Macaca fascicularis: one gene and its partners. The protein of the gene in region 3 interacts with the protein of the main gene of each other region in a pairwise test. Links are inferred from orthologs where the notes say so. Each region holds a gene or a part of one and is shown on either strand. Other genes may lie near its edges.

What was found.
Region 1: the proteins of DCP1A (region 3) and PNRC2 interact in binary tests that used the Homo sapiens proteins (3 or more experiments, as listed by UniProt). The link is inferred for Macaca fascicularis from reciprocal best matches to the Homo sapiens genes DCP1A and PNRC2.
Region 2: the proteins of DCP1A (region 3) and RITA1 interact in binary tests that used the Homo sapiens proteins (3 or more experiments, as listed by UniProt). The two-hybrid records come from large-scale screens. The link is inferred for Macaca fascicularis from reciprocal best matches to the Homo sapiens genes DCP1A and RITA1.

What each region holds. Positions count from the first base shown.
Region 1 is NC_088375.1:211,141,080-211,145,098, forward strand, and holds PNRC2 (proline-rich nuclear receptor coactivator 2), read right to left. Parts: upstream 2,801-4,019; 5' UTR 2,625-2,800; intron 2,327-2,624; 5' UTR 2,309-2,326; coding exon 1,889-2,308; 3' UTR 339-1,888; downstream 1-338. UniProt on the Homo sapiens protein: Involved in nonsense-mediated mRNA decay (NMD) by acting as a bridge between the mRNA decapping complex and the NMD machinery. May act by targeting the NMD machinery to the P-body and recruiting the decapping machinery to aberrant mRNAs.
Region 2 is NC_088385.1:120,111,333-120,115,388, forward strand, and holds the start of RITA1 (RBPJ-interacting and tubulin-associated protein 1), read left to right. Parts: upstream 1-1,256; 5' UTR 1,257-1,707; coding exon 1,708-1,715; intron 1,716-1,878; exon of another isoform or gene 1,879-2,010; intron 2,011-2,382; coding exon 2,383-2,748; intron 2,749-4,056. Other genes in the region: ATP-dependent RNA helicase DDX54, read right to left, coding at 974-1,147. UniProt on the Homo sapiens protein: Tubulin-binding protein that acts as a negative regulator of Notch signaling pathway.
Region 3 is NC_088376.1:116,474,527-116,478,486, reverse strand, and holds the start of DCP1A (mRNA-decapping enzyme 1A), read left to right. Parts: upstream 1-1,160; 5' UTR 1,161-1,186; coding exon 1,187-1,321; intron 1,322-3,795; coding exon 3,796-3,836; intron 3,837-3,960. UniProt on the Homo sapiens protein: Necessary for the degradation of mRNAs, both in normal mRNA turnover and in nonsense-mediated mRNA decay. Removes the 7-methyl guanine cap structure from mRNA molecules, yielding a 5'-phosphorylated mRNA fragment and 7m-GDP.

The DNA of each region.
Region 1 (4,019 bases), on a different chromosome or scaffold from region 3:
TGGAATTAACTTTGAAAAGCTTTGCGACGTTTTCCATGTGTGGCCTTTTTTTTTTCCTTTTAATTGTTAGCACTACTGGGAGAGAGAAATCTCAAGTAGTTGTTTAATTGCATAGCTGTCAAATCCTAGTATCTTCTGTATCAGTCAGCAAACTAGTTGCCCCTTCTCAAGCCAACAGTCCTGTCACATTTTAGTTGTGACTGTTCTTTTATAATCAGAAATTTAAGAGAAGTCCAAGAGTCTTGAGTATTCTGAGTATGTTACAAGCTTCAAGTCAGTGACATTTTTAAAAAGAATATTAAGCAATCAAAACCATTTTTAAAATAAAACCAAGCCAATGGGGAAAAACAATTTTATTTAATTTTATGCTTCAAATTCATATCATGTACATTAAGTACCATATAAACTTATCTTTAGGCTATCAATATTTAACTTGGGCAGTACTTCATCTTGATTTATTTGGAGAAATACAGCTTAGGCATCTGCTAACCTGCTTAGGCATCAAAAGAGGTGCCAAATTACAAAATAGGGCATTAACAATCAAAATTTTTAAACTGACCCACATACCTTCTACTGGTTTCGCTTATGTTTAAGCATTTACTCTTAAGGTTGGCAAAACATGTTATCAATGTATTATGCAAGAGTTTACATCTTTTGCATAAATGGTCCGTTGGGTTGCACCTACCCTTGACCAAACAAAAACCAAACATCATTGGCACCATACTCAAAACTACCTGTTTTATAAGATTGTGAAACCCAAAAATCTGTAAGGTTGGAGGGACTCCAGTTAATCTTTGGGCTTAGAGGAGGAAAAAAAAAAATAGTCCCATACTGCATTTCACATCTCTTAAAAATAGTTTTAGCAGCTTAAACCTTTTTAGTTATAAAACTTACTACACTCGGATTTACTTTGAAATGTAGTTTACAATCAAGTATAACATACGTACACTGGCACTTTAGCACAAGGGCAAACTTTAAAAACAAATTATTTTGGACCTTTAAAATTAGGCCATACTATAAAAAACAGTCCACGGTCTTACATTCAGCAAATTCATACTAAAATATTCCATTTTTGTAAGATAAAGGCCAATAAAACTTTACATATGCTACAAGTTTATTACAGATATGTACATGGCTCTTTCTCCCCTAGGTACTTAAAATTTTCACATTATCCAACTCCCCAAAGCAAGCTTTGCAGGAATGATGAGGCCAGATCACTATTAGAATAGCTTGTGCAGTGCTGTAATACAAAAATGTATTTTGAAAGCTATTGAGTGACCATTAAATACTGTTTCTATAAAAAATGGTTTTGGTGTATTTGTTGACACTTAATCCACTATATTTAATAAACAGGGCCATTGGGATGTACTATGTCTCATTCTAATGAGCTCCAAATGCCCTTTCCACCCACTGTACAATTCACTAAAATGCAATTATTACAAAAAATTCACATTTTCTTTCAGCAGTGCATCAGGTTGTTAGCATATTACTGGTTTGGGTGTTTCTAATATACTAAACTTTCAGATGTTTACCTAATTCTGAATCCTTGTGTTAGCTTGAAGCTTATAATCTGATTCACCAACTTTCAACAATCTACTCCATGAATGATAAATTACTATCTTCCCCTAACAATAGAAAAAGCTGATTCCTTTACCACTCCCCAAATCTAAACTTGGTTTCCACTTAAAAGTTACTCAGTTGAGAACACTTAATATCAAATACCATTAGTTTAAGTTGCACTGATACTACCATTGTATCACAGTGCACACAAGATCGTCTATTTTTTTTACATTAATTAGCAGTTCTACACAAATAGATTAATTCCTTAGCGAATGTTTCAGACCAATTGACAACTACCCGCGAACATAATTTTAACATTTGTCTTACTTTATACCTGTACTTTAAGTAAGGTTTTAAGTTGAAATGTCATTATTTCCTTATCTGAAGGATTAAAGGAAACAGGGACCCAGTGGCTTGGTGGTTTGGGAAGAACACTTGGTGATGGTGGCTCACTAAATTTGGCACCAGCATAGTTCTGATTAGCTTGAGATTTAAAAAGCAAGCTGGGACCTGATAAGCTAGAATTCCAACTCTGATTATTTGGAAAATTTTTGTTCTTCCCCCCACTTTGCATAGCCTGCCAAGCAGCTGCTGATGAGTTATAACCATGTCCTCTTTCTTTTTTCTTATGAACAATCTTCATCTGGGAATTCTGATCCTTGGTCTTCTGTCTGTTAAGCTGTTGTTGGTTCTTACTAACATTTCTAGATTGAGGGGCTGGAATGTTATACCGCTCTCCACCACCCATCTTCAGCTTCTTTGTCACCTACAAGTGAATGGAAACAAATATTGAGTAAAATTCCATTAAGTTCAAATCTGTAAAAAGCTTCTATGGCTCCAACTTATAACTCCAGATATTTTGAACAAGACTCAGTAATAGGCTATTCAGCTGCTTTAAATTAAAAAAGCAAGCTGTTTAGACTCCAATATATGCACAACCTTTATTATTATACCGTCTCTAAGAAAAATGAGCTTACCCACAAATCAGCATAATCTATTTTAAAATAAAAACAATTGGTTTAGGATGGCTCCATCATAAAATGTTTGCCCATTATGATGATTACCTTTCAGTCTGCTTTTCAGATTGCAGGATCTCCACTACCTGTCCTCTTCCTTGCTGCCAAGCCCAAGATAACAAGTGTTGCTTTCTGACAGATCCTTTCCTTTGTCTCAATACAGAAGTTTTCATGGGCCGATCTGCTGAGTTCAGCCTAGGAGCTGAGGCCAACATCTGAGTCTCCTCAGCACACAAGTTTGAGAGAAGTCCTAGCTAGAAAAGTAAAGATTACTTCATTATTTCAAAAACACGTTGAGAAAGTGATCATTTAGATTTACTACAAAAATCGTTGACTGTAAAGAAGGCTACTTCCTGAACTAAAAGGTAGAAAATTTAAGATGGCTTTGACCTCATAACCACGATCATTTAAAAACTCTTCACCCTTGAGACCCAGTCACTCCTGGGGAATTTTTGGAAATGTCTCGAAGTCCCGCAGTAAGTTTTGTTTTTATCTTTTTCCTGGGAAAGATCTTCAGATTCTCTCACGTATAAAATCAAATAACGAGTGTTAAATGTTAAGAGTCATATCAAAAAATTGGCTTCAGGCGGATTTTCAAAAGAGACCGTGTTTTTAAACTCCCACCAGAATTTTCCAATCTTTCCACACACGTCACATCCATTTTCAGTCTCTTGGAACATGTAGACATCACGCAGTGTTTCCTTTGGTTGTGAACACCCTCGCCTCCTCCCCGTCTTAAAATAAGTTCTCACAAGCCCTAACAGTCTAAGCCCATCTTAAATCTATAAAAATGTCTCCCTAGAGGGAACAGCTCAACATTCAAGGTTTGGTTTTAATTTGATGTTCCAAGAAAATAAGTTACCAAATAGTTAAGCCCCCTCCTTTCAAAGGGGTAAGAGAGCCTTCCAAACAGATAAACCACCCTAAATAAATTGCCATTTCCGGACTGTGAGTCATTCACAACTCGAACTCGGAAAACTCGCCGCCTCCGACGCCACACAGGCTTGGCTTCCCAGTGGCCCCATCTCTCCGGAGCCGCAGGGGTCGGGGCGCTGCGACCGCCCGCGCCCGCCCGGATCTCGCCTCCGCTCGCCTCCTTCCCCCAACAATGGGGAGCGCAGCCACCAACATGGCCGCGCCCGCTGCACAGCCGCTACTTACCGACTTCAAGCTCGGAACTACGGCGGCAGTGGCTCCCTCTCGACGTCGAAGCCTCCCTCCCTTTCCAGGGAGAGACGAGGCACGGACCGACAAAGCCCACGAACACCGATGAGCGAGCTGCCGGCCACCCTAGCTTCTACAACCCAACCTCCTCCTTCTGCCTCTACCGACAAAATGGAGTCGGCGGCGACCGCAGAAGCAGGGCCGGGCGGCTCCACGGCCAATCAAAACACGACAGCGCAGGTCTGGCCAATGAGAAGCGGGCCGCCGCCTGTTGCTGGG
Region 2 (4,056 bases), on a different chromosome or scaffold from region 3:
TGGCTCACTGCAACCTCTGCCTCCCAGTTTCAAGCGATTCTCCTGCCTCAGCCTCCCTAGTAGCTGGGATTACAGGCGCGTGCCACTACAACTGGCTATTTTTGTATTTTTAGTAGAGACAGGGTTTCACCATGTTGGCCAGGCTGGTCTTGCACTCCCCACCTCAAGTGATCCGCCCACCTCGGCCTCCTAAAGTGCTGGGATTACAGGCTTGAGCCACTGCGGCCATCCTCATTTTTTAATTTTTTGTAGAGTCGGGGGCCTCCCTATGTTGCCCAGGCTGATCTTGAACTCCTGACCTCAAGCAATCCTCCCACCTCAGCCTCCCTAAGTGCTGGGTTTACAGGCGTGTAGCCACTACACCAGGCCTTTGACTATTTCTTAACCCTCGAGGCCTCAATTTCCTCCTGTGGAAAAATGAAGATGACAGTTGCCGGTGGTGTTAGCACAGCGTTGGTGTGAGGATTACATAATAAGGCTCGTACAGCTCTTAGCATGGAGCCTGGCACATAGTAAATGGTCAACAAACACAAACTGGCCGGGCTCATGCTAATTTTTAAATTAGCTTCCCAGAGGTTTGGGGGCGTCACTGTCTCAAGCCACGCAGTCCGTCCTTCCCTTAACTCAACCTCCCAAGAACGCTCCAAACTCTCAAAGTCAGATTTTCTGCACCGGCACTTTTCATTGGGCGAAAGGCAACCAGGATCCGCCCCATGTGCAGGAGGCAGCCAATGAGAGACGCGCGACCAAAACCCGGCAGGAAGGCCCCGCAGGCTCCAGCCGCGGGACCCTAAGCCTGACAAGCCCCGAGACACGTGCTCAGGCCGGCGGTCCCAAGACCGGTCCTCGGGCTGGCAGCCTCCCTCCTCACTCTCTGCGGAGCCCACTCCCCAGCTGGGGAAACTGAGGCCTCGGGGCGCTGCCGGGAGCCGGGTCTCGGGCCCCAAAGTGCGTCCCAGCCCCAAGCGCCTACCTTCTGGGCCCGGGCGTCATCTTCCGCCTGGATCTCAAACTCGCCGTCCTCCGAGTCGCTGCCGCGGGCCTGGGAGGCCGTGCCTCGGCGCTTCCGGAGCCCCTTCTTCTTCCTCCACTGGGCCATGGCAGCTCTCGACCGAGGGCCGGCCGCCGGGCGCCTGCCTGCCGCCATTCGGGCCTCGCGCTGGGAACGCAAAAGGGGGCGTGGCCTGCGGCGCGCACCAACTGCTTGGGGCGGGGAGGCGCGATGGCCATGTGACCTCGGCTGCGCTTTCGCCAGTGTCTGCGGCCCTGGGCGGCCTAGTACACCAGCCCCTGAGTGAGTGGCACCAGAGGCCCCTCGCCGTGTTTAGGTACCTCCTGGGCGTCAGGGGCGTGGCGCCCGCCCCTGGGCGGACTCCCCCCATCCCTTGGCGCGAATGGTCCGGGCCGCGTGCGCAGTGCTGCTGGCTGCTCCCTGTTTGCTGGGTGCTAGGTGCTGGGTTCTGGTTTTCTGGATGCGCGCGCCGCTCACACGTCGCCTGTGCCAGCTCCTCGGGTGAGTTGGTCCGCGCGCGGTGCCCCGGCACGGCCTGGGCTGCCGGCGGTCCGGGGCCCCGGGCATTCCGGGCTGCAAATTGACGCGGATCCCGGATGCACCGCGCTCCCCCGCGCCCTCGCCGGGGGGTCCAGATCTGGAGGGAAGAAGACGCGGGGAGGGGTCCTTGAGGACCCCGATGACTACGAACCAAGATGCTCAGGTAGGAGAAAGCTCAAAAATGCAGGGACCTCGGGCATTTTTTAATCGGGTCATTGAATTTGGGAGTCGCAGAATGTGGGGCAGTGGGGGCGGCGGTAATCTCCCGATAGCAGTGTAGCCAAGTACACAAGCTCTGGACTCAGATTTCACTTCCACCGTTTTAGCTTTATAGGTGTGACCTACACATGTGACTTCACCTCAGTTTTGTGATCTGTAAAATGGACAAATTCGAAGCTACTTCACAGTGCTGTTGAGAGGATTAAATGAAACAATGCTTGTAAAGCTCTTTGCAGGAGGTAGGCATGGAATCCACGCTGGCTGTCATTGCCCCTGCACCCATCAGTACACACAGGATATAGGAATGTGCCTGTCTCCCCTACCACCATAGTGCGTTTTCTGGTTGGTGCCTAAATGGGCACAGGTGTCATCTCTCCTTCACCCCCAGAGTCATTCTATAAATGATTGCCAGTAGCACCCCTTTCTCCACCATTTTGACAACTAAAAAAAAAAGCCAAAAAAATTTCCAAAATGCCCCCTGAAGTTGACAGCTCCCCTTTGAGATATTGGTTGAGAGAGAACTAAACCCTTGGGATGAGAACTTCAGAGACTACCAGTATTCCTCCATTAGCACTGCTGTGGCTCAGGGGTGCTACTCTGACCTCTCACAGGGAGCCTCGGAAACAGGGCCTGGCTGGCAGAGCACACCTGCTGTCACCAGGGACCACAGGCAGCATGAAGAACCCTGTGGGGCTCGCCGTCAGTGGGATGCAGACCCTCCGCCTTCAGCACCGCTGCCGGGGTGGCTACCGGGTCAAGGCCAGAACGTCGTATGTGGATGAGACTCTGTTTGGCAGCCCAGCAAGCACCCGGCCTACTCCACCAGACTTTGACCCGCCCTGGGTGGAGAAGGCTAACAGAACCAGAGACGTGGGCAAGGAGGCATCGAAGGCCTTAGGGGCAAAGGGGAGCTGTGAGACCACCCCCTCAAGGGGCAGCACCCCGACCCTCACTCCAAGGAAGAAGAACAAATACAGGTAATGGGGTAGGGAGGTACAAATCCTGTACTCAGTGCAGCCACCTGGATTCCAGTTACAGCCCTGATGTTCACCTACTCTGTGACCTTGGGCAAGCATCTTGACCTCTCTGAGCCACAGTTTACTCATGTGGAAAATAGGACCAATGATTCCTACCTAGGGGAATTGTTGATGGATTAAATGAGAGAGGGGTCTGCAGCACTTCGCACAGTAACCTAATACTTAGCTGTCAATAAATGGTAGTGTTGATGGTTGTGATGGTGGACTCCCTATCCCCAAATGTCACAAACTGGGCATCTGAGGCCCAGAGGAGTCAACTGATGCATAAGATCACAGAGAAATTTGCATAAGGTTATTAATATTAATATGATCGATCCTTGAAATGGCATAGATGTGGTGTTTCTGAAGTCATTCTGAAAATGGGTTTTGGCTCGGTGGGGTAGCTTATGCCTGTAATCCCAGCACTTTTAGAGGTTGAGGTGGGATCACTTGAGCTCAGGAGTTTGAGACCAGCCTGGGCAGTGTGGTGAAACTGTGTCTTTACAAAAAATACAAAAATTTGCCAAGTGTAGTGGTGTGCGCCTGTACTCCCAGCTACCTGGGAGGCTGAGGTAGGAGGATCGCCTGAGCCCAGGAGGCAGAGATTGTAGTGAGCCCAGATCACGCCACTGCACTCCAGCCTGAGTGACAGAGTGAGACCCTGTCTCAAAAAAAAAACAAAAAAAAAATTGAAAGTGGGTCTTGCTGCATTTTTATGAACAAGTTAGAAAAATAGGAACTAATGCAAATTGTCATTGTTGTTAATTAATTAGATTAGAATTAGATTATTTGGACTGTTTCAGATTAATATCAGCCTGGAGGGAGGTGTCTAGTGGTGAGCCACAGGACTCTATCCTGTTTATTGTTTACAGTGGTTTGGACAAAGACACAGAAGATGGCCGGGCGTGGTGGTTCACGCCTGTAATCCCAGTACTTTGGGAGGCTAAGGTGGGCAGATCACGAGGTCAGCAGATCGAGACCATCCTGGCTAACACGGTGAAACCCTGTCTCTACTGAAAATGCAAAAAAATTAGCTGGGCGTGGTGGCTGGCGCCTGTAGTCCCAGCTACTTGGGAGGCTGAGGCAGGAGAATGGCGTGAACCCGGGAGCTGGAGCTCACAGTGAGTGGAGATCGCGCCACTGCACTCCAGCCTGGGCGACAGAGCGAGACTCCATCTCAAAAAAAAAAAAAAAAAAGAAACAAGACAGAAGATTAGCACAGTAGTTGGCTAGGGCCACGATGACAAAATACCACAGACTGGGTGGCTT
Region 3 (3,960 bases):
AAAAGGAAAGAAAAAATTAGCCAGGTGTGGTGGCGGGCGCCTGTAATTCCAGCTAAATGGGAGGCTGAGGCAGGAGAATCGCTTGAAACCTGGAGGCAGAAGTTGTAGTGAGCTTGAGATTGCGCCACTGCACTCCTGCCTGCGCGACAGAGCAAGACTCCGTTTCAAAAAGTAACAAAGAAAAGGGCCAGGCGCGGTGGCTCAAGCCCGTAATCTCAGCACTTTGGAAGGCCAAGGCGGGTGGATCACCTGAGGTCAGGAATTCGAGACTAGCCTGGCCAACATGGCGAAATCCCGTCTCTACTAAAAACAAAAATTATCAGGGCATGGTGGCGTGCCCCTGTAATCCCAGCTACTCGGGACGCTGAGACAGGAGAATCGCTTGAATCTTCGAGGCGGAGGTTGCAGTGAGTCGAGATCGCGCCACTGCACTCCAGCCTGGGCGATAAGAGCGAAACTCCCTCTCAAAAAAAAAAAAAAAAAAAAAAGGACAGAAATACAGAAAAAGAAAAAAAAATCCACTTGTACCTTCTGCTAATCAGTGTATATTCAGGGTAACTTGAATCTATGCTCCTGGGTTGCAATCCTCAAGCTTGGCCCAAATAAACTCTCTGCTTGCATTAACTTTGCCCCATCTTCTTTCTTTTAGGTCGATATATCCATACCTAAGATCTAGGGTAATTTTCTAGGCTTCTCGCCTCTCCCTTTCTTCCATGCTTTTCTGTGCTTTCTAAACGGGCCCAGTAGAGTTCTGCATTTCCACATTCCACAGAGGTGTTTTCCTTCTGTGGCCCCGGGCCCTGCCAGACAGCGAACCGCGAAGCCGGAACTTCGGCGGTCTCCAGCCTTTGCCTGGAAAGAGCTCGGCAAGCTAGCTAGAGATTAGATCCCAGGACCTAGTCGTTTTAGCTCAGGGAAGGGAAGCGCCGGACGCCAGCCTGCAAGCTCCACTGCGCAGCCGTGGACACCGCCCCACGTCGTAGGGCAGTGGACCCTGACAACGCCGGAACCCGGCGCCCGGTGCGTGCGCTTGGCGGACCAGAATGGCTAACGTACCGCCATGCCGCGAGGCCCACGTAGAGGCGGAAGTTGATGGGACTGACGCAGATGGGGGAACCTTGCCTCGATGGCACTTTCCTGTCCGCGACTCCGCCCCCGCCAGAGGGGCTAGGTTCCGGGATTCAAGATGGAGGCGCTGAGTCGAGCTGGGCAGGAGATGAGCCTGGCGGCCCTGAAGCAACACGACCCTTACATCACCAGCATCGCAGACCTCACGGGCCAGGTTGCTCTGTACACCTTCTGCCCCAAGGCCAACCAGTGGGTGAGTGCCGCCTGGCTCTGAGGACGGCCGCCCGGCCGCTGCGGTCTCTTAAAGGGGCCGCGCGGGTTGCTGTGGGGTGGGGGACACAGCAAGAGGCCAGGGAGGTGAAGACGGGGCCAGGGACTGGCGAAGAGCCGAGCCAGAGCCTGAGGGGTGTCGGGTCCACCTGAGATTGGGGGATAGGAGTGAGAGAAGTGGCTCGAGACATCCCAAGAAAAAGCCAGTGGAGGGGAGGATTGGAGCAGGATCAGTCCCTTGGCGTCGGGTCTGGGGACGTGGGCGACCTGCCTTCTTTGCAGATACATTGGGAGTTATGAGACCGGTGGGGTCAAAAGAGTGCCTGAAAGCTTGTGTTTGAGGCTTTGCGGATTATTAGATAAATTACATGTACATTGTCTATAAAATAAACACTCCTTCTCTCCCCCGGCAGACGTAAATGAGAGCCCCTTTCGCAGAGGTCATTTGGATTTAAAGCTTAAAATCCAATTAGTTTCGATTCTTGGAAGGGGGAGTGCGGTGGGTCTGGCTTTAATCGAACTACACAGTTTCGGAAAAGATTTCAAGGCACTTAGGAAAAGGGCTTCCATGTTCACTGGATCCCCGAAGACCTTTGTACAAACAAGAGAGACCCTGTAAATGTGTTTTGTTCCACCTATGATGCTGGTGATGTCATCTCTGAATGTTCCCCTCAGACTCAGTACTTTCTGGCTTTCGTGCACTGGAGAGGGTCCGAAAAGTTACATTCAGTCTGTTCACTGATTCTTGTTAGCCCCTGCTTGAAGCTTTGTTAGTTGTTTAAAAACAACTAGCATAATTTCCCACTTTCTTGTAATTGACCCTTCCTAATTAACTCATTCGGTTACAGGCTTTACACTTAGAAAATAGTATGTAAATGTTTGTTGGATTGAATTCACCAATGACTGGAGTTCTCATTTCAATAAGATGTGAAATCCTTAAACTAACAACTCTGGAAGATGACTGTAGTATGTCGTTTACCCTATAATACAGATGCGTAGATTATTTTTATTAGTAATTTATCGAAAATCATTTGGCATTTATGAACAGTTAATTCAGATGAAGAGAGTTTTTATAATCACTTTGTTTATCTTTGCCTCCTGGAAGAGAAGGAGGTATGGGAAGCCACAAGGAATAAAATTGTAGATTGTTTTTTAAATGTAGCTATTTTAGACATTGCCTTAGTTTGAAATTTTATGAATCTTTTTTCTTTTCTTGGCATATATGTAAATTTGTGAAATATGGATTGCAGACCAAGGGTGAAGACTTGGGGCTAGGACTTTTTACTAAAGAGTTTTTCTAGTTTTTCACAAAGGCTTTCAATATTTTAAAATTTTACATTGGGGAGTTCTGTTTTAAATAAGAAATACAAGCTATAATAACCTGAATTGAAAAATAAGCTGCTACCATTTATTTGGATCCTGGCACGTAGAGCATAACAAAAATCTTTTCTCTCTTTGTTGTTATTTTTACAGTGAGTTGTAACTTTACATGATGTTTTCTGGTGGGCAAGTTTTCTTTTACTGTAAGACAGTTGATTACCAATTTCTTATAGTAATAACCTAACGTTTTAAAGGTAAGAAAAAGCCTCTGAATCCTTAGGAAGGAAAATAATGATATTTAAGCTAGGGTAGTACTTCTGGAAGAAATCAAGATGATCAATTTTCTAAATTTTTTAATCCCAGCACATTCAATATATGACCAACATTTAAAATGTTAATAATGTGTTGATTACAGTAAAATATTTAGGTCCATTGTAGGCTGTAAATTGCAGACTAATAAGCTTATTTATTTTTTAAAAAACACTGAACTGTGTTTAAAACCTAAATACTCTTGTCACAGAAAATGACCTATGGTAAAGGCCTGTAATAATTACTGTGAGGCAGGGTATACTTTCAGTATTCATGATTCTTCAAGTTCTAAAAATAACAAGCTGGTTTTGTTTGGTAGGAATTCTTAACCACAAAATTTACTAGTTGTGAAAATGTACGAAAACTCCCCAGTGATGAAACAAAGTATCCTGTAAAAAAATTTCATTCCTTTCCTTTTTTAAAATTAACTTGGATAAACTTTAAAAGAGAAAAAATTGCAGTATACAGGACCTTAGCCTTGAAGTTAAGAAATCTGGCTAAAACATTTTAGCTATAAAAAGTGAAGGTTTATTCTATGATTTTCTCCTTTACTAATTAAAAAAGAAAAATGCTGCAGATACAGATATGTTGCTGGATTAAACATTGCGTATGCTTATGTATGCATCAGTAGCACTGAAAGCATACATTAGAAATGGTAACCACAATTTGTGGAATGAGAGGGAGACTTTATCTGTTCCAAAGTGGTTAATTTTATAATAAATGAAATGAAACAATTTGATCTTAAACGTGAAGCATTACTTCTCCATTGGGACTGTTTGGGGTCTGATTATGGGGAAAAAAAACTAATGGACTCATTGTCTTTCATAGGAGAAAACTGATATAGAAGGGACCTTATTTGTATATCGAAGGTAAGTTTTTAAAATATGTGTATTTGTTTTTAACAGTTTAATGGTGAACAATGTCAAACGGTTCAATTCTGTTGTACATTTGTCTTTGGAACCTTCCTGCTAGTCCCCTTCAAGTTTTCATCTT